Linked DNA regions of Saccharomyces cerevisiae S288C. The gene in region 3 interacts genetically with the main gene of each other region. Each region holds a gene or a part of one and is shown on either strand. Other genes may lie near its edges. The genes, in order: SLX4, MAG1, MPH1 and MMS4.

Region 1 (6,291 bases), on a different chromosome or scaffold from region 3:
TTTTGCGCCCCTTGGAAAAAAATTGATTCTCATCGTAAATGCATACTACATGCGTTTATGGGAAAAGCCTCCATATCCAAAGGTCGCGTTTCTTTTAGAAAAACTAATACGTAAACCTGCATTAAGGTAAGATTATATCAGAAAATGTGTTGCAAGAAATGCATTATGCAATTTTTTGATTATGACAATCTCTCGAAAGAAATTTCATATGATGAGACTTGAATAATGCAGCGGCGCTTGCTAAAAGAACTTGTATATAAGAGCTGCCATTCTCGATCAATATACTGTAGTAAGTCCTTTCCTCTCTTTCTTATTACACTTATTTCACATAATCAATCTCAAAGAGAACAACACAATACAATAACAAGAAGAACAAAATGTCTGAAATAACCTTAGGTAAATATTTATTTGAAAGATTGAGCCAAGTCAACTGTAACACCGTCTTCGGTTTGCCAGGTGACTTTAACTTGTCTCTTTTGGATAAGCTTTATGAAGTCAAAGGTATGAGATGGGCTGGTAACGCTAACGAATTGAACGCTGCCTATGCTGCTGATGGTTACGCTCGTATCAAGGGTATGTCCTGTATTATTACCACCTTCGGTGTTGGTGAATTGTCTGCTTTGAATGGTATTGCCGGTTCTTACGCTGAACATGTCGGTGTTTTGCACGTTGTTGGTGTTCCATCCATCTCTTCTCAAGCTAAGCAATTGTTGTTGCATCATACCTTGGGTAACGGTGACTTCACTGTTTTCCACAGAATGTCTGCCAACATTTCTGAAACCACTGCCATGATCACTGATATTGCTAACGCTCCAGCTGAAATTGACAGATGTATCAGAACCACCTACACTACCCAAAGACCAGTCTACTTGGGTTTGCCAGCTAACTTGGTTGACTTGAACGTCCCAGCCAAGTTATTGGAAACTCCAATTGACTTGTCTTTGAAGCCAAACGACGCTGAAGCTGAAGCTGAAGTTGTTAGAACTGTTGTTGAATTGATCAAGGATGCTAAGAACCCAGTTATCTTGGCTGATGCTTGTGCTTCTAGACATGATGTCAAGGCTGAAACTAAGAAGTTGATGGACTTGACTCAATTCCCAGTTTACGTCACCCCAATGGGTAAGGGTGCTATTGACGAACAACACCCAAGATACGGTGGTGTTTACGTTGGTACCTTGTCTAGACCAGAAGTTAAGAAGGCTGTAGAATCTGCTGATTTGATATTGTCTATCGGTGCTTTGTTGTCTGATTTCAATACCGGTTCTTTCTCTTACTCCTACAAGACCAAAAATATCGTTGAATTCCACTCTGACCACATCAAGATCAGAAACGCCACCTTCCCAGGTGTTCAAATGAAATTTGCCTTGCAAAAATTGTTGGATGCTATTCCAGAAGTCGTCAAGGACTACAAACCTGTTGCTGTCCCAGCTAGAGTTCCAATTACCAAGTCTACTCCAGCTAACACTCCAATGAAGCAAGAATGGATGTGGAACCATTTGGGTAACTTCTTGAGAGAAGGTGATATTGTTATTGCTGAAACCGGTACTTCCGCCTTCGGTATTAACCAAACTACTTTCCCAACAGATGTATACGCTATCGTCCAAGTCTTGTGGGGTTCCATTGGTTTCACAGTCGGCGCTCTATTGGGTGCTACTATGGCCGCTGAAGAACTTGATCCAAAGAAGAGAGTTATTTTATTCATTGGTGACGGTTCTCTACAATTGACTGTTCAAGAAATCTCTACCATGATTAGATGGGGTTTGAAGCCATACATTTTTGTCTTGAATAACAACGGTTACACCATTGAAAAATTGATTCACGGTCCTCATGCCGAATATAATGAAATTCAAGGTTGGGACCACTTGGCCTTATTGCCAACTTTTGGTGCTAGAAACTACGAAACCCACAGAGTTGCTACCACTGGTGAATGGGAAAAGTTGACTCAAGACAAGGACTTCCAAGACAACTCTAAGATTAGAATGATTGAAGTTATGTTGCCAGTCTTTGATGCTCCACAAAACTTGGTTAAACAAGCTCAATTGACTGCCGCTACTAACGCTAAACAATAAGCTAATTAACATAAAACTCATGATTCAACGTTTGTGTATTTTTTTACTTTTGAAGGTTATAGATGTTTAGGTAAATAATTGGCATAGATATAGTTTTAGTATAATAAATTTCTGATTTGGTTTAAAATATCAACTATTTTTTTTCACATATGTTCTTGTAATTACTTTTCTGTCCTGTCTTCCAGGTTAAAGATTAGCTTCTAATATTTTAGGTGGTTTATTATTTAATTTTATGCTGATTAATTTATTTACTTTCGTATTCGGTTTTGTACCTTTAGCTATGATCTTAGCTAATTGAAGAGGGTGGTGTGATCTTTAACCATACCTTATTATCTTTCAGCTGCTTACCATTTTCTTATATTGATTTTTAGCGAAAGATTTTTATTCACAAGCTTTTTTTATCCTTAATGCTCGAATACTACAACAAAACAAAAAACATTAAACAGTTTTTAATTTTGTGAACAAACTGAATTACAAGGCCTTACATCTTATTTAGAATATATTAAGAAACAGAGGCCAACATGCCTTCTTAATTATATTGATATGGACCTCTGTCCTTCCTAAAAACGGGTTTTTGTTCGATGAAAAATCACCAGTAGAGCACCATATATGAATTTACAATCATTGTAGGGAAAAGAAAACTTGTTCTGCTTCGCCAATTGATTTCATTTCTTTTTTTCCTTTGTTTTTGTTGTATACTATTAATATGCGTAGTTCTTTGTCACTTAGTGGTTTTTTGTTTAATTTATAACGCGAAAGCTGCATACTAAAAATATAGAGATGAATGGAACTCCGAACAAGCAAGAGAGATATTATCTATCTCTGTTCCATAATAATAACCAGTAGTTCAGTTGGGGAACTTAATAATGGAACTTCAGAGGGCACAACGGAATTTGAAGTTTTTACAAAACGAGGATTATGTGAACGTTACCGATCAAACTAACCTGAATGGAGAGAGCCAGAATGCTTACTCTTTAGGAATGGAAACTCAAGTACCGGAAATGCAGTTTTCCTTATCATCTGATGATGATTCAATAGGTACGCAAGTAAAAAGCGTAACTGCACAAAAATCGCCTATGACGCAAGAGACTACGAAAAACGATACAGAAAGAAATAAAGATGTTGATAAAAGTTGTAACCCAGTCAGCACTTCCCATCCCGATTTAGGCGGATCAAATATCGAGGAGAACATATTCATTAACACTCAAATTCAAAGCCGACTTGATGACGCAGAGGAAGAAACAAATCTTAAGTTAAAACTTGAAAAATTCAAGTATTCGTTCAAGAGTAGTAACGCAGATGATACCCACAGCAATGCAAATGTAACAGCTAAAAGAAGACCAGCAATAAGGAAGGCTAATTCGAAACTCAAAACAAAACCTAAAACTAAACGAGACCCTAAAATTATCAAAAATATAACTGATTTCAATATTAATAACTACGAACGTTCAAGGACTGCCAGCTTATTAAAGCAATTATCAGGTAAGCACAAGAAGGTTTTGGACATAATAAAGACGCAAAATGAAGGAAACAGTGATAAACCTCCCAGAGCAAGGAATAACAAGGGTGAAAAAGCTACTTTTGATACATATAGTGAACAGGAGTGGAAAGATATTATGAAACTTCTTCTACAAAAGTTTCCGCAAAGTGAGGAAACGGATTTGAATGAAGTCCAGAAATTTTTATATGGAAGCGAAAAAAGCTCGAATTCTCTAGACAATCAAGAATCCTCACAACAAAGACTTTGGACAGCATCACAATTACCACCCGAGCTTCCCGATGAGGCTATTCAACCAGAGCAGGAAGAAAGGATACGCGATACCCAAAGTGCAGTAAATTTCTTATCGTTGTCTCAAGTAATGGATGACAAAAGTGAAATTATGAAAGACGAAGAAAGCATAATTATTTCACGGGGAGATTCTACAAGCTCTCAAGAATATGGAAACGGGTTAGAGCCACAACAACCGGTAGGAAATGTTGTTGGTGAAGATATTGAACTGGCTGTGGGAACACGTATAAATGCATTTTCACTGACAGATTATAAAGCTTGCAAACCTATGTCTGTTGAGGTAAGTAGAAGATGCGAAAACAGTACGGATAATGATTATGACAATATTTCTATTGTCTCAGATACTACAGATGAGACATCCACATTGTTTCCACTAGACCAGTATCGGTATGTTTTCATTGAAAATGATGAAAGACCACCATTAGCCACCGACACGATAGGCAGCACACAGTTTTTCACTCCAAACACATCGCCTTTGGATGGGATAATCGATTTAACACAGGAATCATTCAAAGCTGTTCGATCGTTAATATCACCTTTGAAAGTAGAAAACAACAAAACAGGGGTAACATCACAAGCATCAAATCAGGTTCAGGTACCAGCTACAAGAACCCCTACAATTATTCCTCAAAAGAACCTTACTACAACTTTAAAAACTGAAGAAGAAAAGAATAACATAGGAAGTTCCATCAGAGTTAAATTATTGCAAGAAAGCGTAGTTAAGCTAAACCCCAAACTGGTGAAACATAACTTTTATAGAGTTGAGGCAAATGATTCTGAAGAAGAGGAGACAGAATTTGATGACCAATTCTGCATTGCTGATATCCAATTGGTAGATTCCTCCAAAATTTCGACTAAAGATTCTACACAAAATCCTACTACTAGCAACGACATTATTGATACCTCTGCAGCTAGTTCCATAGCTTCTCCCGAGAAATTTTGTGAGATCATGATGTCCCAATCAATGAAAGAGCTTCGACAAAGCTTGAAAACAGTGGGGTTGAAACCTATGAGGACGAAGGTTGAAATCATTCAATCCTTACAAACTGCATCTCAAATTCTGTCCACAGCTAATCCAGATAATAAAGGTGAGCATGGTGGGGTGGCAAATTTCAGTAAGATAGAAATATTTGATCATTTAACCGAACTAATTGAAGCCTTCCCTGATTTTTTGGAGCGAATATATACCTTTGAACCCATTCCGCTAAATGAGCTAATTGAAAAGCTGTTCAGCGCCGAGCCATTTGTTTCGCAAATCGACGAAATGACCATCAGAGAATGGGCCGATGTTCAAGGAATATGTCTGAGAAACGATAAAAAGTAGTGCCGAATGATTGAGAATTTGACAAAACAAAAACAAAACAAAACAAACGTTACGTATAGATGAAGAATACACGTACACAAATATGCATATATACCGTCATGAAGTAGCTTAACTTAAATAAAAGTTTTTTTTTTTTAGAGTTACCAATATCGCAAACATGAAAATGAGAATAAAAAAAAAAAAGCAGAAAAAAAAAAAGCATAACATGGAGAAAAAAATAATAAATAATTGAGTTTAGTTGAGACGCCGGTCTTCGCCAGGCCAGGAATTGTTTCACCAGGTCATTCTCTGCAAAGCCTTTACTTTAACATTTAGATTCTTCTTCTTGGCGGAGCCGCGACCATTGCTTCTCTTTTCGTCTGATTGTTTGCTAGTCGAAGAGACGTTACAGTAAGTACCAGCTTTCACGTAAACAGCAATGTCGTTGTCGTCGCCATGTTTGAAGCAGCATCTTCTGCCATAAGGACAATAACCTAGTTTCTCCCAATTCACACAGGGCTTCGTCCTGAAATTCTTGCACGATTTCTTAACCTTTAATTCGCCGAGTCCGTGAGCAAACTGACACTTACTGCCATAAGGGCAACTTCCTTTTAAAGTGAATGATTCGCACAGCTCTGTCTTGTATAATTGTTTGGGAGTTTCCTGCACTTGGCTTTTCACCTTAGGTTGAGCTGAGGATTCCTTCTCTGATGAAAAAGAAGCATCATTTTTGGGCTTTTGTTGAGACAACTGTTGCAAATTCTGTGAAGTTAATGGTAATTGTGAAGATTTTGGGACATAGTCCGGATTTATTTGTACCTCTAGTTTCTTTTTAAAAGTAGTAGGTGCCGTGCTATTCAGGTGAGCGGATGGGAGAAAAGGGTTCATTAACTGTGGATCATACAGTAGCCCCGGTTGAATAGCGTTTGTATTTTTTGGTGGAGAGAATGAAACTGCCGAAGATATTTCACTGCTTGTTTCCTGTATGTTATCCTCGTTTAAAATCGTCTTGTTGTAATACTCCTCCAGTTCCCTAATATTGATCTGGTACTGGTAGTCATTTAATGGATTTTGCTCTTGATCTGTGGAAAACAACGACGTTAAGTCAGTCTTCTGAGATTCTGGTCTAG
Region 2 (4,506 bases), on a different chromosome or scaffold from region 3:
TATAGAGACCGAAAGTGTATCGCCAATGCGGAAAAGAAAAACTACTTTAACTGCTGAATGTACTCCTCCTAGCCTAAATGATATTAGAAGACAGAAAGATTCCAAGAATCCACGATCGCTTGAAAATGTCGCTCGCTATAAAATGGTTTCTAAAAGAATATGGTAATCTAAGATCCGCATTTATCGCGGCTTACGGCTTTCGGATATTTCGTATATTGCAAGGAGCAAAAAAGAAACCCTGCTTACTAAAAAGCTATTGTTTTGCAGTTTATAAGTTCTTGCCTTTTGAATTATTGATCTTTCCTTTATCGTTTATTTAGTTTCCTATTGTAACTTGGAACTGTATTATATAATAGTGCACAGCACTGAAGTTGTAACTACTGTACGTCATGCTTTTCAGAAACATAGAAGTGGGCAGGCAGGCAGCTAAGCTATTAACGAGAACCTCGAGTCGTTTGGCCTGGCAAAGTATTGGGGCCTCAAGGAATATTTCTACCATCAGACAACAAATCAGAAAGACTCAACTATATAATTTTAAGAAAACTGTGAGCATCCGTCCATTTTCTCTCTCCTCCCCTGTTTTTAAACCACATGTTGCTTCAGAATCAAACCCTATAGAATCACGTTTGAAGACCTCGAAGAATGTTGCTTACTGGTTAATAGGTACATCCGGTTTGGTATTTGGTATTGTTGTTCTTGGTGGGTTGACTAGACTAACAGAATCGGGGCTGAGTATTACCGAATGGAAACCTGTCACAGGTACTTTGCCCCCTATGAACCAGAAGGAATGGGAAGAAGAATTTATCAAGTATAAGGAATCACCAGAATTTAAATTGTTGAATTCTCACATTGATTTAGACGAGTTCAAGTTTATATTTTTTATGGAGTGGATTCATAGATTGTGGGGTCGTGCTATCGGCGCTGTTTTTATATTACCTGCAGTTTATTTCGCTGTATCTAAAAAAACTTCAGGCCATGTCAATAAGAGGTTGTTTGGTCTCGCAGGTTTATTAGGATTACAAGGATTTGTTGGTTGGTGGATGGTGAAGTCTGGTCTTGATCAAGAGCAACTAGACGCAAGAAAATCAAAGCCTACCGTTTCTCAATATAGACTTACTACGCATTTGGGTACCGCCTTCTTTTTATACATGGGTATGCTCTGGACTGGTTTGGAAATATTGAGAGAATGTAAATGGATTAAGAACCCTGTTCAAGCCATTAGTCTCTTCAAAAAATTAGATAATCCCGCAATTGGCCCAATGAGAAAGATTTCTTTAGCTTTGTTAGCGGTGTCTTTCCTTACCGCTATGAGTGGCGGTATGGTTGCCGGTTTGGATGCTGGTTGGGTCTATAACACCTGGCCAAAAATGGGTGAACGATGGTTCCCTAGTTCTCGTGAATTAATGGACGAAAACTTCTGTAGAAGAGAGGACAAGAAAGATCTGTGGTGGAGGAATTTGCTAGAAAACCCGGTTACAGTTCAGTTGGTCCATAGGACATGTGCGTACGTTGCGTTTACATCAGTACTAGCTGCTCATATGTACGCTATCAAAAAGAAGGCCGTAATTCCAAGGAACGCGATGACCTCTTTGCATGTTATGATGGGCGTCGTTACTTTACAAGCAACACTTGGTATTTTAACTATATTGTACCTAGTCCCAATATCGTTAGCTTCTATCCATCAAGCTGGTGCTTTGGCGTTGCTAACAAGTTCTTTGGTGTTTGCCTCTCAATTAAGGAAGCCAAGAGCTCCGATGAGAAACGTAATCATTACCTTGCCACATTCAAGCAAAGTAACTAGCGGTAAAATTTTAAGTGAAGCGTCGAAGTTAGCCTCGAAACCATTATAATGGATAAAGGTATTCTTATGAGAATTGACAGTATACTCGCTTTTCCGCTTTGTCGCTCCAATGGTTGGATTGTATGTGTGAGGCTTTTTCTTATTATATGTTGGTATCCCTACGAGAAGCTGTAAATATGAATTTCTTTAGTAGGCATCACACACAACAATAGGGTGTATTTATTTTTATTTTTTTTTTTCTTATATAAATGTCAGTAATACATGATATCTTTAAGTTAGGATTTCACGAAATTTTCTTCTGCCTTCATCATGGCATCTGTATTTGTGCTCGCGAGCCTCCAAAGTATGAACATAAACACAGACCTATACGGAGAAAATGTTTCAGAGCATTTTTCCATTATGTCGTCGTCATATATTTTCCAGTTGTATTTCTTATGCTTAATCTTACTCTTTTTAACTACTTTTCTTTCACGCATTAATTCTTTTTCCAATTCTGGCTTATCTGAAAGGTATTTTGAAAAACCCCTAGCAATACCTAGATCTTCAGGAGCAAATACATCCATTCTTTTCAATCCGGAGATCAAGAACATTTTGGCACTCCATGGGCCTATACCTTTTACATTCGTAACTAAACTTTCAATCACTTCCTCATCATTATCTTTTTGACCGAAGAGCTTTTCGATATCCTTATATTTTTCAGTAAAATAGACAGCAAGAGACTCTAGATATATCATTTTCCTTTTACTCAATCCACATTTTGCGATTTCTGCACATTTTGCTGGGTCTTTGAAGTCTTCGAAAAGGATTTTGTAATCAGGAAATGCACCGCCATAAAGACTGACAACCCTTGCCTTGATGCTTTCAGCTGCTTGGCCACTGATCTGTTGAGACAAAATTGTGCTTGCAAGCCTAATAAAATAATCTTCGAGTGTATTAGGGACTTGAGTCTCCTTCAAGTACAACGTAAATTCATTATTCTTAAGTATGGGAAAAAGTGATGGATCTTTCTCTAAAATGTGTTCGCAAGCCATATTGAACTTTTCTTCATGTCTAGCAATATATTTCTCAGGAAGAGCAACCTCTAGAGGTCGAGACCCTAATTCTTTTGCTATTTCCTTAACAGCGTCTGCTTTTATTAACTCATCATACTCCCTTTTTAGTTTCATTGAGACCAATCCCTCTCTAGCTTCTCTTGATTCTCAGTAAAAAATTAAAAAGGAAAAGTACCACTTCCATCGTCATATCAGAGGGCAGTGGCCAATTCTCATTGATTCATAGATAACTTAAACTTTATGTAAGAATTCCCGTCGCCACCCCGCCCTGTAAATTCATCGCCACCGAAAAGATAATAATACCAAAATGATATATAAAGTAGGTCGAATAAGAAAGTATACTTAACGTAGTTAACAAAGTACATACCAAACATAACAGCAAAAATATACGTAAAGATGGATTTAACAATTTCAAACGAACTTACTGGCGAGATATACGGCCCAATTGAAGTCAGTGAAGATATGGCTTTAACTGATCTAATAGCATTACTGCAGGCCGATTGCGGGTTTGACAAAACAAAACACGACTTATATTACAATATGGACATTCTAGACTCAAACAGAACTCAGTCTTTAAAAGAACTAGGGCTCAAAACCGATGACTTATTATTGATTAGGGGTAAGATTTCCAATTCCATTCAAACAGATGCTGCTACTTTGTCCGACGAAGCGTTCATAGAGCAATTTAGACAAGAGCTACTTAATAATCAAATGCTTAGATCACAACTCATTTTGCAAATCCCTGGATTGAATGATTTAGTAAATGACCCACTGTTGTTTAGGGAAAGATTGGGCCCGCTCATATTACAAAGACGTTATGGTGGCTATAACACCGCCATGAATCCTTTTGGCATCCCCCAAGATGAATATACTAGACTAATGGCCAACCCCGATGATCCTGACAACAAGAAGAGGATTGCAGAGCTTTTAGACCAACAAGCTATCGATGAACAGTTGCGCAATGCTATCGAATATACACCTGAAATGTTTACCCAGGTCCCTATGCTTTACATTAATATCGAAATAAATAACTACCCCGTAAAGGCATTTGTAGATACAGGGGCTCAAACAACGATTATGTCCACCAGGTTAGCGAAGAAAACTGGCCTGTCGAGAATGATTGACAAGAGATTTATTGGAGAAGCTCGTGGCGTAGGAACCGGCAAAATTATTGGGAGAATTCACCAAGCCCAAGTCAAAATAGAAACACAATATATTCCATGCAGTTTTACCGTCTTAGATACTGACATCGATGTTTTGATAGGACTAGACATGCTGAAAAGGCATTTGGCTTGTGTGGACTTAAAGGAAAACGTTCTTAGGATAGCAGAAGTGGAGACAAGCTTTTTGAGTGAAGCGGAAATCCCAAAAAGTTTTCAAGAAGGACTTCCAGCACCAACGTCAGTTACAACTTCGTCTGATAAGCCCCTAACACCCACCAAGACTAGTTCAACTCTACCACCACAACCGGGGGCTGTTCCTGCGCTTGCTCCAAGGACTGGTATGGGGCCAACACCTACGGGAAGAAGTACAGCCGGTGCTACAACGGCAACCGGGAGAACGTTTCCCGAACAAACGATTAAACAGCTTATGGATCTAGGTTTCCCTAGGGATGCTGTGGTAAAGGCTCTTAAACAGACTAACGGAAATGCA
Region 3 (6,750 bases):
CGTCCAGCTCAAAAGGACAAAGAGCAGCCTCCATCTTATTTGGAGATTGTTCTCGTTGTTCCTCGGGAATGCTCTTTGACTTTTCATCCAAGGCCCTTTCTGCTTGCTCACCAGGAGTAGTATCTATTAAGACTTTTTCCTTAGAGAAGGAAGAGGAAACATTCCAATTGTTAAATATTTCTATTTTATTAGTGTTGTCATCTTCTTCAATCTTCTCTACGCTAGCTACTTTAGAAGGTAATTTACGCCCACGAGGTCCTCTACCTCTTCTAGTTCCGCCCAGAGGTCCCGTTTTTGCCTGTGATTGGTCCTGGGGTCCTAGCTTAGATTCAGTATCCGGGGAGGACAACTTCTTCTCCAAGGAAGGTGGAAGCTGTCCAGGGTTCACCATACCAGGTAGCGCAAACAGTCCATTCAATTTGCTCGTAAAATCTGCCTTCGTGGTATCGCTAGTAATAGAAGAATCTGTGTGTTTTTTAGCAATATCTGCTGAAGCGGTAGTAGCTGAAGAATTACCATTATTATGCAGATCTTGTTGCTGTTGTTTTTGTAACATTTCTTGAAAGGCCGCAATTCTTGAAGAAGGTTTTTTGGGAACCGGAGGTGGGGCACGTCTCTTTGGTCTTTCAGAGGGAATTTTTGGGATTTTACTTTCCTCTTCGGTACTAATTAGGGTCGAATCACACTCTTCTGATACTCGCTTCTCTTGTGTGTTAGGCAACTCCTCTTTTTGTACGTGTGCTTCAAAATCCTTCTTAGGCCTACTCCTTGGAATCACTGGAACGTCATTTTCCTCTTCACTTGCAATTTGTGAAGGAACGTTTGAGCTAGTTGCTGCTATAACTGTTTCAGTATCAGAAGGTCCTTGCGGCTGAGAATTCACTTCCATGTTGTCCTTGCCTTCTTGTTTCTCATTCAAAGAGGTAGTACTTTCTTCATCGGTTGGATTTTGGAAAATTTTTTCTTCCTGTTGTTCTTGATGCTTCTGTAGCTCTTCTAAACTAGATTCAGGATGTTTAGTGAACTTTTCAGCTTTGTCGTCTGATTCTGTGATTCCAGATGGAGGCAGAGCATTGAGGCTGCCTTCTTCTACGTCCTTACTAACATCTACCTGTACTTTCATATCTCCAGGAATGAGCTTTTCTTCAAAATGGCTTCTATCCCCTGCCTCATTATCTAGGGCAGCATGTACCTTTTGCTTTTCAGTAAGGTCTTCGGAGTCACTATGCTCTGTCACTTCATTATTAGACTTGTTAACTAAATTAGAAGGTGAAATAGCAGACTCATTGCCCTCAGCACCCTCGTGCTCATTTTTTTCGAGTGGGGAGGGATTTGTAGAAGTTTTGTTATCTGATGCACTTCTTTGCCCGTTTTGATGAATGGCGGCCACCTTTCCCTCTTCCACAGAAGTTGGACTTTTTTTCCTGGAAACATTGTGTATATTGTGCTTTGAAATCAAACTTTCAATCTCCTCTAACTCCTTACTGGTGTTATTCATTACATTATTTAGTTCTTCAGTAGTGGAGCGTCTAACTGGCCTCTGCAATGGTACCTTGGGCAAACTCTCTTGATCCATACCACTCTCAAACGAAGTCATCGTCTTTGCTTTAAGTATGGGTCTACGTGTTGGTACATTGGGCGTTCCTGCTGGTGTTGGTGGCTCGCTATTAGCTTTAATATCTCCTGATTCAGAGCCGGATAACGGAAACAGCTCAGATGTCTTCCTCCTTGAGGGCCTCTCAGGTACTTTTGGCGTAACTTCCGATGGCATTGTATAATCGGTCAAAATAGATTTCCTGTTAGATCACCAACAAAACATGATACTTTCTAAATCAGAAAGCTTAAATTAAAATATACTCAATATTTCTCCTTTTCTTTTGCTTCGCGCCTGGTAAAACAAGATTGCTTTCATTGTGCATGTGGTAGAAAAGACAAGTTAAAAAAGGAGAATGTACTAACACAAAATTCAAACTCCAAAGGGGATAATTGCACTCAATTTGCAAGGTTGTTCCATATGAGACAGGAGTCTTCTTCTCCATCGACCTTCCTAGCTTACTGTGCTCACAGAAAGACATAAACCGGGTAACGGCTTTTACGGGGTTACGTGTGTATATAACCGGGCATCACGAAGAGATCAATAGAGGTGCCCTATGCTCTATCACGGAGCTAAGATATTGTGATTCAAGATATAGTAGCTCACTTCAGTTTTATTCAACACATTCCGGTTCTGTTTTATTTTAGTGTCCTTTTTTCTCTCTGATGGCTAGTGCAGATGATTACTTTAGTGATTTCGAAGATGACGAGCTGGATAAACTGTATGAAAAGGCTATCAATAAATCTGTGAAGGAAACTATAACGAGACGTGCTGTACCAGTTCAAAAAGACCTTCATGATAACGTTTTACCTGGGCAGAAAACTGTGTACGAAGAAATTCAAAGAGATGTCAGTTTTGGACCCACTCATCATGAGCTTGATTACGATGCTTTGTCGTTCTACGTGTACCCTACAAATTACGAGGTAAGGGATTATCAGTATACAATTGTTCACAAATCACTGTTTCAAAATACGTTATGCGCCATCCCAACGGGTATGGGTAAAACGTTCATTGCCAGTACAGTAATGTTAAATTATTTTCGTTGGACCAAAAAAGCCAAAATAATCTTTACTGCTCCAACAAGACCTTTGGTAGCCCAGCAAATTAAGGCATGCTTAGGTATAACAGGAATACCTTCGGATCAAACTGCTATATTACTCGATAAAAGCAGGAAAAATAGAGAAGAAATTTGGGCCAATAAGAGAGTTTTCTTTGCCACACCGCAAGTAGTGGAGAATGACTTGAAGAGGGGTGTATTGGATCCTAAGGATATTGTATGTCTTGTCATCGATGAAGCTCACAGAGCTACTGGCTCCTCTGCGTATACAAATGTGGTAAAATTCATAGATAGGTTCAATTCATCATACAGATTATTAGCATTGACCGCTACACCAGCCTCTGACCTGGAAGGTGTCCAAGAAGTGGTTAATAACTTAGATATTTCCAAGATTGAAATTAGGACTGAAGAAAGCATGGATATCGTGAAATATATGAAGAAAAGAAAAAAGGAAAAAATTGAAGTGCCCCTTTTGTTGGAAATTGAAGACATAATCGAACAATTAGGTATGGCCGTCAAACCAGTGCTTCAACAGGCAATTGAACTCGGTATATATGAGGAATGTGACCCTTCACAAATAAACGCCTTCAAAGCCATGCAACAAAGCCAAAAAATTATTGCTAACCCTACTATACCTGAAGGAATTAAGTGGAGGAACTTCTTTATTTTACAGTTATTGAACAATGTGGGTCAAATGCTAAAGAGATTAAAAATTTATGGAATAAGGACATTTTTCAATTACTTCCAGAATAAATGTACAGAATTCACTACGAAATATAATCTTAAAAAATCTACTAATAAAATTGCAGCTGAGTTTTATTACCATCCGATTTTGAAAAACATCAAAAATCAATGCGAAAATTATTTAAGTGATCCAAAGTTTGTCGGTCATGGGAAGTTACAATGTGTTAGAGATGAACTAATGGACTTTTTTCAGAAAAGGGGTTCCGACTCGAGGGTTATTATTTTTACAGAATTAAGAGAAAGCGCACTTGAAATTGTGAAGTTCATAGACTCGGTAGCTGACGATCAAATCAGGCCTCATATTTTTATTGGACAAGCTCGTGCAAAAGAAGGTTTTGATGAGGTCAAATACACAAGAAAACATGCGCCAAAGGGAAGGAAGAAGGTAGAGAGATTGCATAGGCAAGAGCAAGAGAAATTTTTGGAAGCTGAACGAACTAAGAGAGCGGCGAATGATAAACTTGAAAGAAGTGCCAGACGAACGGGGAGCTCTGAAGAGGCTCAGATTAGCGGAATGAACCAAAAAATGCAAAAAGAGGTTATCCATAATTTCAAAAAGGGTGAATATAATGTTCTCGTTTGTACATCAATTGGAGAAGAAGGTTTGGATATCGGAGAAGTTGATTTAATAATCTGTTATGATACTACAAGTAGTCCAATCAAAAATATTCAGCGTATGGGTAGAACAGGCAGAAAACGAGATGGTAAGATAGTACTACTGTTTAGCAGTAATGAATCATACAAATTCGAGCGTGCTATGGAAGACTATTCAACCCTGCAAGCGCTTATATCCAAGCAATGCATTGACTATAAAAAATCAGATCGGATAATCCCTGAAGACATTATTCCGGAATGTCACGAGACATTGATCACGATTAATGATGAAAACGAAATAATTAATGAAATGGAAGATGTTGACGAAGTTATTCGTTATGCGACTCAGTGTATGATGGGCAAAAAGGTGAAGCCAAAAAAAGCCATAACAAAGAAGAAGAGAGTTCAGGAAAATAAAAAACCGAAGAAGTTCTTTATGCCTGATAATGTTGAGACCAGTATTGTTAGTGCAAGCACTTTAATTAATAAGTTCTTGGTGAATGAAAGTGGCGGGAAACAACTAGTAACGAGTAATGAAAACCCAAGTAAGAAGCGGAAGATTTTTAAAGCTTTGGATAATCTGGAGAATGATTCAACCGAGGAAGCTTCCTCCTCATTAGAAACTGAAGATGAAGAAGTCAGTGATGATAATAATGTTTTCATTGCGGAAGGGCAGAATGGATGCCAAAAAGATTTGGAAACTGCCATTATTCGCACTGGCGAAAGTCTTACCACACTCAAGCCACTTCATAATTTTGAACGCCCTAATATGGCTTTATTTGTGAATGATTGTGGTCTTCCAACTAAAATCGAGAAAAATGTGAAAGACATCCGAGGAAATCAACACAACCTTGAAAAAGAAAAGAGCTGTACTGTTGACAAGAATAACATGGTATTGAGTTTGGACGATTGGAATTTTTTCAGAAACCGCTATATCCCAGAAGGTGTTTCCTTCGATGTGGAGCCCAATTTTGTACAATACACCAAAGGGGTAAAAGTTCCGCATTGTCACAAAGTTTCAAAAATCATTACGTTATTTAACGACGAGAGTAATGATAATAAGAAGAGGACAATTGATATGAACTATACTAAATGTTTGGCGAGAGGCATGTTACGAGACGAAAAAAAATTTGTAAAAGTTAACGATAAAAGTCAAGTCGATAACAACAGTGTCAACCATGATTCATCCCAATCTTTTACCTTATCGAACGCAGAATTAGATGACATACTGGGCTCAGATTCTGATTTTTGATAGGAGACTCTTATACGTCGGCGTCTATACAAAAATAACGCTGCTGTAATATTTAAGTATTTATAGATTTTTCTATATATCGCATAAATACTTCAAGGACATTATATTTTTAGTATCAACTTATTTTCTTTAGAATTTTTCATTCATTAAGGATACGGCACTGTTTTTGAAGCAACAAAATATAAAAATTGAGCCAACGACGAGTACAATCTGTAATCTTCCACGCCTACCAATGCAAAACCTTTCTGTCATGAAGCACTAAGCATAGCGCTTCAATTTGTGGCAATCACCATAATAAACAGCTTGTTTCTTGGAGGATATGAAAAAGATTATCAATCATTCGTTAGGTGAAAAAAAACCGCAACAATTTCCTACACTCCGAAAAGTAACCTTAAAATGCAGCAAATTTCAAATTTAATTTTGATTAAGTAAGTAATCTCAACTTTCGCTCTCCAACCAGGCCTATTAACATAAACATATATCTGCTGTCACATAGTGTCATCATTTGCAATTGCTGTTATGTCCCAGGAAGAGAAAGTGGATGCTAAGGCAACCTTAAAGACTGAAATTTCGAACAATAAAAAGAACGACAAGCAAGAGCTCGAGCTGGATGAACTTGTGGGTAAACTATCTATCGAGGGCACTCCACAGGTGTCGCAAAAGCTAAGCAAGGAGGAAAAACACGCTCATCAACTTGAAGCTGACTCGCGTTCTATCTTTGTCGGTAACATCACTCCGGATGTCACCCCAGAGCAAATAGAAGATCATTTCAAAGACTGTGGCCAGATAAAAAGAATAACACTTCTTTATGATAGGAATACGGGAACACCAAAAGGCTACGGCTATATTGAATTTGAAAGTCCGGCATACAGAGAAAAAGCCCTGCAATTAAATGGAGGAGAACTTAAAGGCAAAAAAATTGCTGTCTCCAGAAAAAGAACTAACATTCCAGGATTTAATAGGCATTACAACTCGCAAAACCAGTATTTCCAACAATGGCAATGGAATTATCCCTTAATGGCCTACCCCAATCCCGATACCTTCCCTTATTACCCACCGTACCCTCCAAATCAGTCTCCAAATCAAAATTTCGGATATAATAAGAACAATTATTATAGGAGTCCTTACAATAACAAGAATAGAACCTTCCAAAAAAAACACTTCAACAGTGCCAAAGACTCTACAAAAAATATTAGATCTACTTCCCAAAAACCTGTTGTCATGCCGTCTGACAACGTTAAAAGTTCTACCCAAGAAAAAGATTCGAAATAAACACAAGGCTTTCATGTGTATACTTAATAATAATTAAGTGAGCTGCTGCTTTGAATAAGTTGAAGGACAACTGGTGTTATCTCGCTTGTCTATCCAAACCTTCAAGAATAGGGTAAATGCAAAAGCAAATATAAAATGCCACAACTACAATCAAAAAAAGAAATGTCATCGCTTGTTACAATATTTTCATTCCTTTATTCAAGGATTTTTTTTTTTAATTTTTCGTTAAAAAATATT
Region 4 (5,222 bases), on a different chromosome or scaffold from region 3:
AGCGAACCCTGATTTTCCATATAATAATAGTAATTACCGTCCATTAGTACAGAACTCACCACCTAACCTAAACCTTACGAATATTATGCCAAGAAACATTTTCTTTGATGTAGAGTTTGCTGAAGAGTCGACAAGTGAGGGACAAGATTCTAACTTAGAGAACCAACAGATATATAAATATGATGAAAGTGAGAAAGATAGCAATAAGCTAAATATTAACGGTAGCAAACAGCTATCTACCGTCATGGACATAAATGGATCACTAATATTCAAAAATAAGTCCATTGCCACTACTACTTCTAATTTGAAGAACGTTTTTGTTCAGTTAGAACCAACGTCCTATCACATGCATTCTCCAAATCATGGCTTGAAAGATAATGCAAATGTTAAACCAGAAAGGAAGGTAGTCGTCAGCAACAGCTATGAAGGCGACGTTGAAAGCATAGAAAAATTCCTATCGACTTTCAAAATTTTACCTCCTCTGAGAGATTATAAGGAGTTTGGGCCTATTCAAGAGATTGTACGGAGTCCAAACATGGGTAATTTGAGGGGCAAGTTGATAGCTACTTTGATGGAAAACGAACCCAATTCTATTACGTCTTCTGCTGTTTCTCCAGGAGAAACACCCTATTTAATAACAGGTTCAGATCAAGGTGTAATCAAGATTTGGAACCTGAAAGAGATTATCGTGGGCGAGGTTTACTCTTCTTCTTTAACTTATGACTGCTCCTCTACCGTAACTCAGATAACCATGATTCCTAACTTTGACGCGTTTGCCGTTTCCAGTAAAGATGGACAAATAATTGTATTAAAGGTTAATCATTACCAACAAGAAAGTGAAGTCAAATTTTTGAATTGCGAATGCATCAGGAAAATTAACTTGAAGAATTTTGGTAAAAATGAATACGCAGTGAGAATGAGAGCATTTGTGAATGAGGAAAAATCTCTACTAGTAGCATTGACGAATTTGTCAAGGGTTATTATATTTGATATTAGAACCCTGGAGAGGTTACAAATTATAGAGAATTCTCCAAGGCATGGTGCCGTTTCAAGCATCTGTATCGATGAAGAGTGTTGTGTCCTAATTTTGGGGACGACTAGAGGTATTATTGATATATGGGATATCCGTTTCAACGTGCTGATAAGGAGTTGGTCCTTTGGGGACCACGCACCAATCACGCATGTGGAGGTTTGTCAGTTTTATGGAAAGAATTCTGTAATTGTTGTAGGAGGTAGTTCAAAAACATTTCTAACAATATGGAATTTTGTTAAGGGGCATTGTCAGTATGCTTTCATAAATTCTGATGAACAGCCATCTATGGAGCACTTTTTACCAATTGAGAAAGGCTTAGAAGAATTAAATTTTTGTGGAATCAGGTCTTTAAACGCACTAAGCACTATCTCAGTATCTAATGATAAAATTCTTCTTACCGATGAAGCAACAAGTTCCATTGTTATGTTTAGCCTAAATGAGCTTTCTTCTTCTAAAGCAGTAATAAGTCCTTCAAGATTCAGTGACGTTTTTATTCCTACACAAGTTACGGCAAATCTCACAATGTTATTGAGAAAAATGAAACGTACTAGCACTCATTCAGTAGATGATTCTCTATATCATCATGATATTATAAATTCTATATCTACATGTGAAGTTGATGAGACACCTTTGCTGGTTGCTTGTGATAACTCAGGGCTTATTGGAATCTTCCAATAATTTTTTTTATTTTATTCAGCTTCTTTATTCTAAATGCGTATAAATTTGTATTCACCTTAAACATTTTCGATCATTTAGGAAAGGGCTTGCAACGCGTTGAAGTACCCTTTTCACGAAAAAAATGGTTGTATACGTAAATAAAGAACAATGTATGGATTATGGTATAGAATAATAGTAGTCACATATTGCAGCTAGTTAAATGAGCCAGATCGTTGATTTTGTTGAGGACAAAGATTCAAGAAACGATGCCAGTATTCAGATCATCGATGGACCCTCAAATGTTGAAATTATCGCTCTCTCGGAATCAATGGATCAAGATGAGTGCAAAAGGGCACATGTAAGCTCTGCAGAGATGATTCCATCATCACCGCAAAGAAAATCTGTTTCGAATGATGTTGAGAATGTTGACCTAAACAAATCTATCGAACTTTCTGCGCCGTTCTTCCAAGATATCAGTATAAGCAAGCTAGATGACTTTTCTACAACAGTAAATTCCATCATAGATTCGTCTCTCAGAAATGAGAATAATGCAAAAGGAAACGCGAAAAAACTTTTGGATGATCTAATAAGTGATGAATGGTCAGCTGATCTTGAGTCGAGTGGAAAGAAGCACAACAAATCACAATACAATTTGAGGGACATCGCAGAGAAATGGGGAGTACAGTCTTTAAAAAATCCAGAGCCTATTGCTGTTGACTGCGAATATAAGACACAAGGAATCGGAAAAACCAATAGTGACATTAGTGATAGTCCGAAATCACAGATAGGAGCAGCTGATATACTGTTCGATTTTCCACTGTCTCCAGTAAAACATGAGAACCCAACTGAAGAAAAGCACAATTCGATTGCTAATGAAAATTCTTCACCAGATAATAGCCTGAAACCAGCAGGAAAACAAAATCATGGTGAAGATGGGACATCCATGGCAAAAAGGGTATACAATAAAGGTGAAGACGAGCAAGAACACCTTCCGAAAGGAAAGAAGAGAACCATAGCGTTATCAAGAACACTAATCAACAGCACCAAACTACCTGATACAGTAGAACTAAATCTTTCTAAATTTCTCGATTCCTCAGATAGTATTACTACTGATGTACTTTCAACCCCTGCAAAGGGGTCTAACATAGTAAGGACAGGTAGTCAACCAATCTTTAGCAACGCTAATTGTTTTCAGGAAGCAAAACGCTCGAAAACATTAACGGCTGAGGATCCCAAATGTACTAAAAATACTGCCAGAGAGGTATCACAACTAGAGAATTATATTGCCTATGGGCAATACTATACTAGAGAAGACTCAAAAAACAAAATACGACACTTGTTAAAAGAAAACAAAAATGCTTTTAAGCGAGTTAACCAGATATATCGAGATAATATAAAAGCACGCTCTCAAATGATTATAGAGTTTTCGCCTAGCCTTCTCCAGTTATTTAAAAAAGGAGACAGTGATCTGCAACAACAATTGGCACCAGCAGTTGTGCAATCAAGCTATAACGATTCTATGCCGCTTTTAAGATTTCTTCGAAAATGTGACAGTATTTACGACTTTAGTAACGATTTCTATTACCCCTGTGATCCCAAAATAGTTGAAGAAAACGTTTTGATTCTATATTATGATGCGCAAGAATTTTTTGAACAATACACTTCACAAAAGAAAGAATTATATAGGAAGATACGATTTTTCTCAAAGAATGGAAAACATGTGATTCTTATACTAAGCGATATAAATAAACTCAAAAGAGCTATTTTCCAATTAGAAAATGAAAAGTACAAAGCTAGGGTAGAACAACGATTGTCAGGAACAGAAGAAGCTTTAAGACCGAGAAGTAAAAAATCAAGCCAAGTTGGAAAATTAGGGATAAAAAAATTTGATTTAGAGCAACGATTGCGCTTCATTGATAGAGAATGGCATGTCAAAATACATACTGTAAATTCACATATGGAGTTTATTAATTCTCTGCCGAACCTAGTGTCATTAATTGGAAAACAGCGCATGGATCCCGCAATTCGGTATATGAAATATGCTCATTTGAATGTAAAATCCGCTCAGGATAGTACAGAAACGCTAAAGAAAACCTTTCATCAGATAGGGAGAATGCCTGAAATGAAGGCGAATAATGTCGTGAGCCTATACCCCAGTTTTCAATCATTACTTGAAGATATTGAAAAGGGAAGACTGCAATCAGACAACGAAGGTAAATACTTGATGACTGAGGCAGTAGAAAAAAGATTGTACAAACTGTTTACTTGTACTGATCCAAATGATACTATTGAATGATGATCGAACGAAACTTTGTATATAAGAACATACCTTAAGGCAGTCGTTTTGAAAATCACTGCAGCTCTATTTCCCCCTCCTTACCTTTTTAATGAATTCCATTTTACAGAAAGTACTATTGATAAATATTCGTAATAAAATAAAACAGTGTTAATAATAAATGTTCGAGATTCCGGTTAAAGATAATATGAAATGGTGAATGTAATATCATTTTATTTCTACGGACGTAATCATAATACATACTTTACGGCTAAATAATCGTCTTCATTAAGTCTGTCCTTTAGAGGCTCGATATGTTTGTAACCTTCGTTCAATTTGTGCAATTCCTGTTCATTAAATTTTATTCCGGAAGATATCAGGTGAGAGAGAAAAGACAGAACTCTATCTATGATGTTCAAGTTACTCTCGTCAGACAAGCACTCAATCGTACTTTCAATTACTCCATCCTTTCTCAGCACACTGATTATATTTTCATCAATCTTAACAGATGACAAATATGCGGTCAATAAGGCAATGGCTCTCATTTTCAGTTTTGGTTTGGCGGTGTTATCACTTAATACAGGTGCTATGCAGTCGAGCCCATTTAATTTGAAAAACTTTTCTGAGATATCTTTGTGGTTTCTTATTAGATTAGATAGTGCGTAAAAAGCTTTTGTTCTCACGTCGAGTGGCTTTGTCTTGTCACTAGCTATTTCGATAAGGCTTCGCAGACCATTGTCGTATTTCATGAAATTATTTTGCGAATCCAAGTTGTTTTGCACAGCCGTTCCAATAATGGATAAAGCAGCAGCACGTAGTTCTTCATCCTTCGTCTGAACAAGAACATCCAACAATGGCTCCCACAGTTTTAAATTTTCGATATTATTAGCATTATCTAAGTTCTCAATCAACATTTCAAAGTTGTCAAATGCAACGAGTTTTGTTTCTAAGTCAACCTCCGGATTCATAATAACAGCCATGGATTCTTTCATTAAGGTTGGATCGTCAGGACCACCACCACCGAATAACTGCTGTAGCAATTTAGGATCAGGTTGGCCGGCCCTAGCCATAGCTTCTTTGTCCCCTTGAGAATTCGCAATAGACCACTGTAATAGCTTTTCCATAGTTATGTATGTGTTTTTTTTTCTATTTTACTCTTTCGTTGAAAGGTAATGGCTTTCTGACTGACGATGAGTGCTCTTTTAGATATAGCCAATCGCTGGTTTATAAGCAAATTTCTGTCAGCGCGAGATGCCT

What was found.
Region 1: mutations in MPH1 (region 3) and SLX4 together harm fitness more than expected from each alone (negative genetic interaction), as found in Saccharomyces cerevisiae (3 studies listed by BioGRID).
Region 2: of MPH1 (region 3) and MAG1, changing one enhances a phenotype caused by changing the other (phenotypic enhancement), as found in Saccharomyces cerevisiae (4 studies listed by BioGRID, with this or other methods).
Region 4: mutations in MPH1 (region 3) and MMS4 impair growth when combined (synthetic growth defect), as found in Saccharomyces cerevisiae (5 studies listed by BioGRID, with this or other methods).

What each region holds. Positions count from the first base shown.
Region 1 is NC_001144.5:410,346-416,636, forward strand, and holds SLX4 (Slx4p), read left to right. Parts: upstream 1-2,935; coding exon 2,936-5,182; downstream 5,183-6,291. Other genes in the region: PDC5 (indolepyruvate decarboxylase 5), read left to right, coding at 378-2,069; TIS11 (Tis11p), read right to left, coding at 5,456-6,291. UniProt on the Saccharomyces cerevisiae protein: Regulatory subunit that interacts with and increases the activity of different structure-specific endonucleases. Has several distinct roles in protecting genome stability by resolving diverse forms of deleterious DNA structures.
Region 2 is NC_001137.3:453,070-457,575, forward strand, and holds MAG1 (DNA-3-methyladenine glycosylase II), read right to left. Parts: upstream 2,968-4,506; coding exon 2,077-2,967; downstream 1-2,076. Other genes in the region: EMP65 (Emp65p), read left to right, coding at 1-166; COX15 (Cox15p), read left to right, coding at 390-1,850; DDI1 (Ddi1p), read left to right, coding at 3,250-4,506. UniProt on the Saccharomyces cerevisiae protein: Hydrolysis of the deoxyribose N-glycosidic bond to excise 3-methyladenine or 7-methyladenine from the damaged DNA polymer formed by alkylation lesions.
Region 3 is NC_001141.2:355,906-362,655, reverse strand, and holds MPH1 (3'-5' DNA helicase), read left to right. Parts: upstream 1-2,259; coding exon 2,260-5,241; downstream 5,242-6,750. Other genes in the region: AIM21 (Aim21p), read right to left, coding at 1-1,771; SGN1 (Sgn1p), read left to right, coding at 5,761-6,513. UniProt on the Saccharomyces cerevisiae protein: ATP-dependent DNA helicase involved in DNA damage repair by homologous recombination and in genome maintenance. Capable of unwinding D-loops. Plays a role in limiting crossover recombinants during mitotic DNA double-strand break (DSB) repair.
Region 4 is NC_001134.8:439,605-444,826, forward strand, and holds MMS4 (Mms4p), read left to right. Parts: upstream 1-1,910; coding exon 1,911-3,986; downstream 3,987-5,222. Other genes in the region: ubiquitin-binding serine/threonine protein kinase VPS15, read left to right, coding at 1-1,711; Hsp70 nucleotide exchange factor FES1, read right to left, coding at 4,217-5,089. UniProt on the Saccharomyces cerevisiae protein: Interacts with MUS81 to form a DNA structure-specific endonuclease with substrate preference for branched DNA structures with a 5'-end at the branch nick.